Linked DNA regions of Oryzias latipes. The protein of the gene in region 1 purifies or fractionates together with the protein of each later gene. This does not show direct contact. Links are inferred from orthologs where the notes say so. Each region holds a gene or a part of one and is shown on either strand. Other genes may lie near its edges.

Region 1 (4,365 bases):
CAGATGTGCTACGACATGTTTTTTTGGAACAATTTTACAACTGGATGCTTTTGATGGAGAAAATCAAAATGTCATTTTTAAGACCCCATTATGCTGCCTATTTGTTATCATTTACTTTGTGGGGTTTTTTTTACCTGAAAGTGGCTGCGATGGGTTGGAGTTTCTATGGAAACAGTGCATCCAGTTGAAGATGTCACAGCCCTTGCCCTGACTGAGGTCACTCAAGATAATTTGATTTTGCTGCATCTCCAGTGTTAAATAGAGCAAAGAATATTTCCCATAGTGAGTTAAGAGGAAATACACTTTCTTTATTGTGCAAGTCAAGATAAAAATGGGAAATAAATAATATTGCCGTGGAACCTTTTTTGACACTTCCAAAAGCCTTTGCCCTCTTAAATGTAATTACTGAGTAGTAGCTTTGTTTGTAGCGATGAGATTAGGTGAACAGGTGATGAACCGATCAATAGAAGGCTTGAAAGCAACAAAGGACTGACTGTGCACTCTGGTCCTTTATAACCTCCTTCCAAAAACTAGCAATCAAGAGGACACTATTCAGCTAACAGAGAAGTTTATTTATCGTCAATAGAGACGCAACAAAAAGGTCTTAATCATGTAGTTTTCTCCGAGGCAGCTGCAATAGAGGCCAAACCAATCTGTTGCTTTCATTCATTCATTTGTGTTGTCGGTCACATGGTTACTGAGATGTGAAGTGATGTGTTTTTGTGTGGGTTGGAGGGGGGGGACTCGTTTTTGTTATCTCGTTAGGACTTTTGCTGGTATAAACAGAAACCTTGTCAGGGTTAGAAACCCTTTTGGGTATGAAAGATTGGTCCAAATGAGGCAGGATGTAATTGCTGGATTCCTGGGTATGGGGGCAAAGGTGTACATGGAGGTTAAACTATGGTAAACTAGAACCTTAGGGGAGGAGGGGCAAAATCCAATAAAGCCAGGATATTATATAAAGATTTGTGTAAATCCATGTTTTGCTCTCAAAACTGCAGAAAAATAATATATCCTTACATTTTTTTCAAGAACTGCTAATTATATCAGGAAATTTAAATTTGCATTTAGAGTAAAGAGAAAACAACAACGCTTGTAAATTTAAATCAAAAGTTAAGAAGTTAAAGGTTTGCACAATACCAAAACATAAAAATAAATAAATAAAACTAACAAAGAAAAATGTACATTTGTTGTTTTTTATCTTATTTACTTAACAGTGAGCTTTTGGTTCAAACTTATTCTCCACAGTTTGAGTACCAATAACGTAGTTGGAGCTGTTTTTTTTTTTTTTAAGTTCTTCTATTATACCACTGTGGGGAGGGTTAATTTGTAGCTGTCCCTTTAAAAGCGGTACCTTTAAATTGTCTATTTTATGTGACTACATATCCCATGGTTCACTTCAAAATGGTCGCTCTGTGGACAGCTTCATATTCAGGTCATCCAATTATTTGTGCTTTTGGGCGAGCGCGTACTTCGAAAAGGCATTACGTTATCCAATAGAATTCTCTACTTTTCCAGTTTATACCGTATGGCCAACCACAGCCTTCGCTCTGCGGGATGACCAATCGGAAAGTCTTGATGCAACGGATGGGCGTCACCACTTTTCACCAATCAGATTAAACAATGAGTTTAAACCATGGGCGCGGGCGGTCCTAGACCGCTTTCGGGGCGGGGCCAAATGTGGACACGCTTGGATTTGAATTCAGGCAGGAGCTAACAATTTATAGGATGTTAGCTGGTGATAGAAAGACAGCAGATATCGTATCATTCTTAATTTAGTTTTCTGACAAAAGCAGCAAATAATTTTGCTTGTTTTAGGTGGTGTCGTCACTCATTATACGCACTTGTTCCGTGTTGTATCTCCATACATCGGTCTTGAGCCACTTGCAATGAAAGCGGGCGGTAAGTAGATTTTAAAAACTTTCTTCCTACTAATATTTATATCTTCCGTGAAACAATAGTTAAATATTTTGCCTTTTATGAATGTAAATATATAGTCTGTCTTTATTTGTAAGTATTCAGAGAGTGCAGTGAAATTTAGCAACTAAGTAAGCGATGTACTAACAAAACTTGTTCTATTTAAGTTAATACAAACCTAAAATCAAAAATAAAGTCCATAACCTTTAAATTAATCTAGCTTGTTTGTTGTAGTAGTATTTAAATATATATAACTATAAACTAGATTTAAAAATAAAGAACTCAAGCTTCAATCGGAATACGGGAGGGAAATTTGGGCGCTCATCTGATTCGATTTCTTCAACTCAGAAACTTACTTCAAACTATTTTTCTGCGATTATTCAGGTGCAATGTATATTTAACACAACATTTTTTTAAATGAATCCTTATAAAATGGTTGGTGTTTGTTTAAATCTTTATCATATTTATTCAAATATGCAGAGAAGGCCACACGAGGGTGTCAAACGTTTGTCATCTTCATGATGGAGGGAGTTGAGAATTTACTGTCATTTATCTTGAAGGGTCTTCATATTTTCAACTTTTTATCCTTAATTTTCATCTATTTACAAAAATATGACCAAAATAGTGTTTAACTGTATTTTATGAAACTTTATGCTAAGTGAAAAAGTTATTGCTGTAGAGACGAGGCTTGCTGTAGAATCTTATTTCTTTCTTTTTTACATTTTTTTTTAAAATAGGATTTGATTATTCTTGATTATTTTTTTATTTTATTTATGACCATCTTGACCAAATAACACAAGAGGAGGCAACTGCCTCTAAAATGCCTTTATAATGATGTGCAAATATTGATTTTCGCACAGATGTGAGAATGAGTTTTTCGCATTACCCTGTGAAGTGCTTTTGTACACTTGAATGAAATTCTGTACATTTCTGCGTGCATTAAAGATGCTGCTCTAGAGATGCATCCACAAATCCATGTATTGATGACTTTTTCCTCCCTTCCTCTGTCTACAGTTGTCCACTGCCGTTGTTCAAAATGTTACTCGGTTCCAGTGCGGAAGCGGGTTCGTAAACGCTCGTCGTCCCTAACGCTGCTGTCTCTGCCTGAGGAGATTCTTCTCTGTGTGCTTCAGTGTCTGTCTGCAGAAGACCTCCTCTCTGTTAGAGCAGTAAGTAATGATGTATGCATTTGAATTGTGCAGTTTGTTCTTTAACATATGTGCTGCATTTTGTCAAATCTCAAGTGACTGTTCTTTGCGCATCTTGTGACTAAAAACTATAAAGTTTCTTTTTGTTCCTGCTTTTGTTAATCTTATTTTGTTTTGGTTGTAGGTTCATTCCCAGCTGCGGGATATTGTAGACAACCACTCCAGTGTGTGGGCCAGGGTCAGTTTCAGAGACCGATGGCCATCCCCCAACACCTTATGGCTATTTGAAAAGTATGGTTCCCTCTTACAAAAAAAGAAAGAAATTCACTGTTCTGACTGCTTGTCATTTATCGAGTTTTTAACTGCAATTTTTTTTTTCTCAATCTAGAGCTGCAGAAAAAGGGAATTTCGAGGCTGCTGTGAAACTTGGGATTGCTTATTTATACAATGAAGGGCGTAAGTGCACTAAAGGCTACATTTCCTGAGCAGTATGTATTTTAATCAAAGACAAAATGCTCTCGTTCTCAAGAGCAATAACACAACATAACATCAAAAACACCTAAAGACAGCTTTACACTATCAAGGGGTCTTCAATCGCATCCTCAAGGCATCATTATACATTGCTTGCAGCCTCTGCATCCTCAACAACTTTTAATTACCCACAAGTGGGCAGTATATGAAGTATGCATTAGGAGAAAAAAATATAAAACTTGCCTTTGTGTGCGTCTTCCAGCACTATCTACCTCAGAACGGTATATTTAAGATGCTCGACTGGCGTCTAACAGGAATATTTCAAAAACACATGGTTAAAAAAAGTCAGAAATTTTTTTTTTATAGCTTAAGACACTTATGAGTTTGTCTTGATATGAACCTTTTCTACTGTCTTCCCTTTTGTTCTTCAGCGTTGCTGAGTGATGAAGGGCGAGCGGACGTCTGCGGTCAAAAGGCCTCCCACTTCTTTAGCCTGGCGGAAAGCGTGCGCTCCCCCAAAGCCGACCCATTCACTTGGGTTTTCATCCGTCCGCCGTGGTCACCCACCGGCAGCTGCTGCAAGGCCGTGGTGTTCGATCACCTCAAGGCCGAGTGCGATACTAACATGGTAGGTGCTGCTGCTGCTGTTGTTGCTGCTGCTGTGGCTCCATCGAGTCCATCCTGAGGAGCCCTGTATCTGTGTTTCTTTAATCTTTAGCTTTGTCTTCTATATTTGACAGACAACAATATGCTTAGAAAAAATCAGTCTAAGGTCAGTGGAGGGTAGAATCTGGGTTTTAGGTGCTTATTATCAGCAGATTACATTTTA
Region 2 (4,244 bases), on another chromosome or scaffold:
AATCGATTTTTTCTTCCACCCCCATACTAAACCTCACAGAGGATCTGACTGAGTGGTTAGAAGATTTGCACTGGGATGCCTCCCTAATGGAGCAAAACATGTCCTGAACAGGAACCCTCCAGGCTGACCCCGACCCCCTGTAGAGGTCACCGGGAACAGACCAGCATCCTCCTGGGGGGGGGGGGCATGTGTCAGACCCAAGTGCATTTCCAGCTTTCAGAATAAAAGCATGGCTGTTTCCAATACCTTCAGCTCTTTGACAGGATTCTTGAGGGTGTCCACCTTCCTCTTCTTACGCTCAACGTAGGTGTCGATGGACTCCATCTTCTTAAAATGAGCCTCGTGGAGCTTTTTGAAATCTGGATGAAAGACATTTAAATGATGAAGGGGAACGAATCAGACTCACATGATGGAAACTGTTTTCAAAAACCAAAGACCTTCACAAAGAAAAATAAATGAACAAAATTAGAAAACAGACAAAACTGTGCACCCAACATAATGAAACAAACGAGGAGAGAAATAGAAATCTGCGGTTTGAGATGTTCTTTCAGGGAGCAGGACGTTACAATAATCTGTTTAGGTGGAAGTAAGAACATCAGCACCTCCTCCATGCTGGCAAAGTCATGCAACGTTTTATGTTGATGAAATTCTACTCTAGATTCTTTTTTTAAAATATGGAATATAAATCAGCCCAGAGTCAGAATAAACACCCTGATATCTCACTATTTGGAGAAATGATCGATTTCTTGTCTTCAGAACGTCAACTAAAAGCTCGGGGTCGTCCTGTTGAGCCATAGAGCTTCTCTGCATTCATGACTTCCTGTCTAAAATTCAGTTTAAAAATCTGCTTTCTGACTCCTCACCATCAGGAGATGAGCGTGTTTATCTGTGCGTCATCAGCACGGCCGTGAAATAAAGAAAGAAAAACTTACTTGGAGTGAGCGGTTTGAGCGCAGCCTTCTGCTGAGATCCACGATAGCGAGGGATCTTTCCAGCTTTGCTCACTTTGGGTTTTGGCTCTGGTTCTGGACACAGTGGTTTTCATGAATAAAAGGTACCCCAGTTAAGAAGCGGAGAGCATAAACCCCACTAGTGCACACCTGTCTCCACGCGTGCAGGTGCTTCCACGCAGGCGTCAGGCTGCAGCTCCTCCTGAGGCTCAGGTGAGTTCTGCTCAGAGGACGCTCGTCTCTTTGAAGCTCTCCTGGTCTTGGAGGATGAGGCTTCAGGTTCAGCATCAGCCTGGTAAGAAAAGAAAACCCATTAGAGGTTTTAGAGGACCAAACCTCCAAAAACCTCATAGATTCCAGCTAAAAATCCAGCTCACTTTGGACAAAATGATCTTTGGGATCAACAATCGTCTGTTAATCTTAGTTCTCTTATTCATACCTCAAAATGGAAAAAAGTATGGCCTAATTTCATTTTATTCAAAAAAAACATTTGCAAGCAAATTATCTTAATGCTTTAAAATGTATGCATAACAAAGGTGCAAATCTACTGGACATCCTCAGCAATTTTGATTTATTCTGGGATGTCTGTTTACAAATGTGTGAGTATAAATGAGTTATTGTTTATTGATGGCATGATTTTGTAAAATGTTTTCCCTCAGTTATGTGTACTACTTACAAAGTCATTGTTAATGAAGACAATCTTATTGCCTGTTTTGTCATAAGTTTGCATATAAAGTTTTTTTTTAAATAACTCCAAAAGTCACGTGACGTCGTATTTGCGTGTACCCGTGCAGCCTTTGGGGTCACCGCAGCCCCGCTGGTGGTCTTCCCCGAGTCCCTGCGTCCTCTCCCCCGACGCGCGTTGACAAACACGCGTGGGCTGGAGGTTTCTTTGACTGCATCCTGATCGGCATGACTGACGCGATCATCCTGTCCACGACACAAACAAGCCTTCATACAAAACTGCAGTTCAGGCTAAAGCAGCGATGTGTTTACGAGTGCCGGTTACCTTCCCCCCCGCCGCCTCCTGCTGCTTGTAGTGCTGTTTTACAGCCTTCAGGAGTTTGTTTGCCTGTATTGAGACAAATTATGTTAACACAAGTCACGTATTAGACAAACTACAGTAACAGCGCCCTTCGTTAGTAGTTGCCATATCCCGTAATAATTTTTCGTTCAGGATAAAGTTATGAAGCTAAATGTTGATCTTGCCTTCATGTTTGCTTTCAGTCCGAGCTGTTTAGCGAGACTTCGCAGATCGGCATATTTCATGGAGTCCAAATCCATCCTGACAAGGAGTAAATCCAGAAAAAGAATCCCGTTTTTATCCACAGTCAGATTGAATTCTGCGCGAGGCGTCCGCGGCTGACGGTTAAAACCAGATTTGAAACGGGACAAGAGGAGGGCTATGATTGGCTCTCAGTTTGACCGGAAATGGTCACAACCAATCAGAGCAAAGCGTGTCGATGCCTTTCCGTTTAAAAAAAATATTTTAATAATATAAAGACAGAAAAGCTTCACAAAAATCTGTTTTATTTTAGATTTTGAAAATTGAATTTGAATCAAAAATTCTTACAGGGAAAAAAAACGTTTATAGATAAAAGTTCGTAACTGCTCGGCGTGGCACGCGCGTCTGGGAAACCCGCTAAAAATGGAGTTTGAGAAAAGCATTTTAAATAAACGCAGCGACGAAGCGAAGCCTGGGACAGCGGCAGACGACAGACATCTGATGACCTTCCACTGCCAGCACTGCTACACCGTCCTGGCGGATTCCCTGGATGTTTGTGGTGAACTGCAGAGTCTGGACTCGGTCATTCTCTTAAGTAGGTTTGTCTCCTTTGTTTTGGTCACACAGACGTTCACGGCAGAATATTAACTAGCAAGCGAGTAATTTGTTAGAACTGTGTGTTAAAGGGAAAATATAGTTAAATTACCAATTTATTTATTTATTTACTTACTTGTTTGCCTGGCTATTTGGTGATCTGTGATTTGTAAGTTGTTACTGTTTTGGGGGGAGATCTTCCATGACAGGTAAATGTCTCCACTGTGGTATCAATAAAGTTAAATTCAAAGCTTTATTGATCCGTCGGGTTTGACAACAGTAAAAGTAGAATTTATTTTTTAAATTAAAGCAAGTTTTTGCCACCGAAGACGCTTTTAGGCAATTAAAGCACGCGATAACAAAAGTAATTTTGTTTTAACTACACTAAATATTTTTGACCAACTGTCCTTCATAAAAATAAAAAATATTAAATTAAGAAAATAAAAAATCAGCATTTTCTGATGAATCCCCTGAGTTTATTACCAAATATTATATTAACAAAATGTAATTTAGTAACAAATGTTCAAATGTCTTGTTGCTCTAATCAGCCATAGACGATGTTTTCTCCCATTTACCAACAAAAAAGCTATAATAACCTGTTAAAATAGGTCTCAGCTTTACAGAATTAAGGGGATGTTGTTGTTATTTACTTTTGTAACCCCCCCCCCCCCGTTGTTTTTTTTTTTTTTTTTTTTACTAAATTGTTCTTTACTATGAATACATTTATAAAAGAAATACAAATTTTATTTCTGCTTTTCTTTCCTCAGAAGTTACAGACGATGTTGTGGTTGGAGATGCTGTAATGTCCAAAGATAAAGGAGAAATGACAAACTGGTGAGTAGATTTTAAGGTAGAACCTGATAAAGATGATAAATACAGGACATAATCTGTCTCCTCTGAATGTTGAAACCCTCCCTGATCTCCACTGGTTTGTTCCTCAGCATCTCCAGTCCTCTTAAATGCAGTCACTGCCACCTCGACGTGGGGAAGATTCTCCACTCGAGCCCACCGAGCCTGGCTCCAGTTCGCTCCCTCTTCCTCCTGGACAAATCCAGCATCAGTTGGTGAATTTTCCCTGATCCGCTCTTTCATGAATAAAGGAGTAAATCAGAGCTGAGACTTTCTCCCTTTTCAATGGTAGAGATGAGAACACTGAGATGAGAAGCACTCAGAAAAAAACTATTTTCTTCTGCAGTTACATCCTGAACAGCAGCTCCATGGTGAAGGCCTCTGGACTCTCATTTGATCTGCAGCCTGTGAGTGAAAGACTGGCAGAGGTGAGAGCTTCGGGGAGGATCACGTGTGTGTTCTTTCTCAGTAAATGGGAGCTGTAGACACAGATCTGTCCTGCAGGGGGCGCCAGAGCAACATCCAAACAGAGATTGCTGTTGGACGGTTGACTCCTGGGATCATGTCGTCAGAACTTTCTCCTTCAGAGCTCACCTGCTGCCTTTTGTTCACAGGTGAAGCAACAT

What was found.
Region 2: the proteins of ccnf (region 1) and nusap1 purify together in Homo sapiens (affinity purification with mass spectrometry; 3 studies listed by BioGRID, with this or other methods). This does not show direct contact. The link is inferred for Oryzias latipes from reciprocal best matches to the Homo sapiens genes CCNF and NUSAP1.

Annotation. Positions count from the first base shown.
Region 1 is NC_019866.2:11,077,549-11,081,913, reverse strand, and holds the start of ccnf (cyclin-F), read left to right. Parts: upstream 1-1,497; 5' UTR 1,498-1,889; coding exon 1,890-1,902; intron 1,903-2,931; coding exon 2,932-3,086; intron 3,087-3,249; coding exon 3,250-3,356; intron 3,357-3,453; coding exon 3,454-3,521; intron 3,522-3,967; coding exon 3,968-4,164; intron 4,165-4,365. UniProt on the Homo sapiens protein: Substrate recognition component of a SCF (SKP1-CUL1-F-box protein) E3 ubiquitin-protein ligase complex which mediates the ubiquitination and subsequent proteasomal degradation of target proteins.
Region 2 is NC_019880.2:1,752,168-1,756,411, reverse strand, and holds the start of nusap1 (nucleolar and spindle-associated protein 1), read right to left. Parts: upstream 2,997-4,244; 5' UTR 2,906-2,996; intron 2,771-2,905; coding exon of another isoform or gene 2,599-2,770; exon of another isoform or gene 2,379-2,598; intron 2,328-2,378; exon of another isoform or gene 2,236-2,327; 5' UTR 2,235-2,235; coding exon 2,160-2,234; intron 2,023-2,159; coding exon 1,960-2,022; intron 1,881-1,959; coding exon 1,737-1,880; intron 1,243-1,736; coding exon 1,101-1,242; intron 1,026-1,100; coding exon 933-1,025; intron 360-932; coding exon 247-359; intron 1-246. Other genes in the region: oip5 (protein Mis18-beta), read left to right, coding at 2,599-2,770, 3,537-3,603, 3,711-3,833, 3,965-4,046, 4,233-4,244. UniProt on the Homo sapiens protein: Microtubule-associated protein with the capacity to bundle and stabilize microtubules. May associate with chromosomes and promote the organization of mitotic spindle microtubules around them.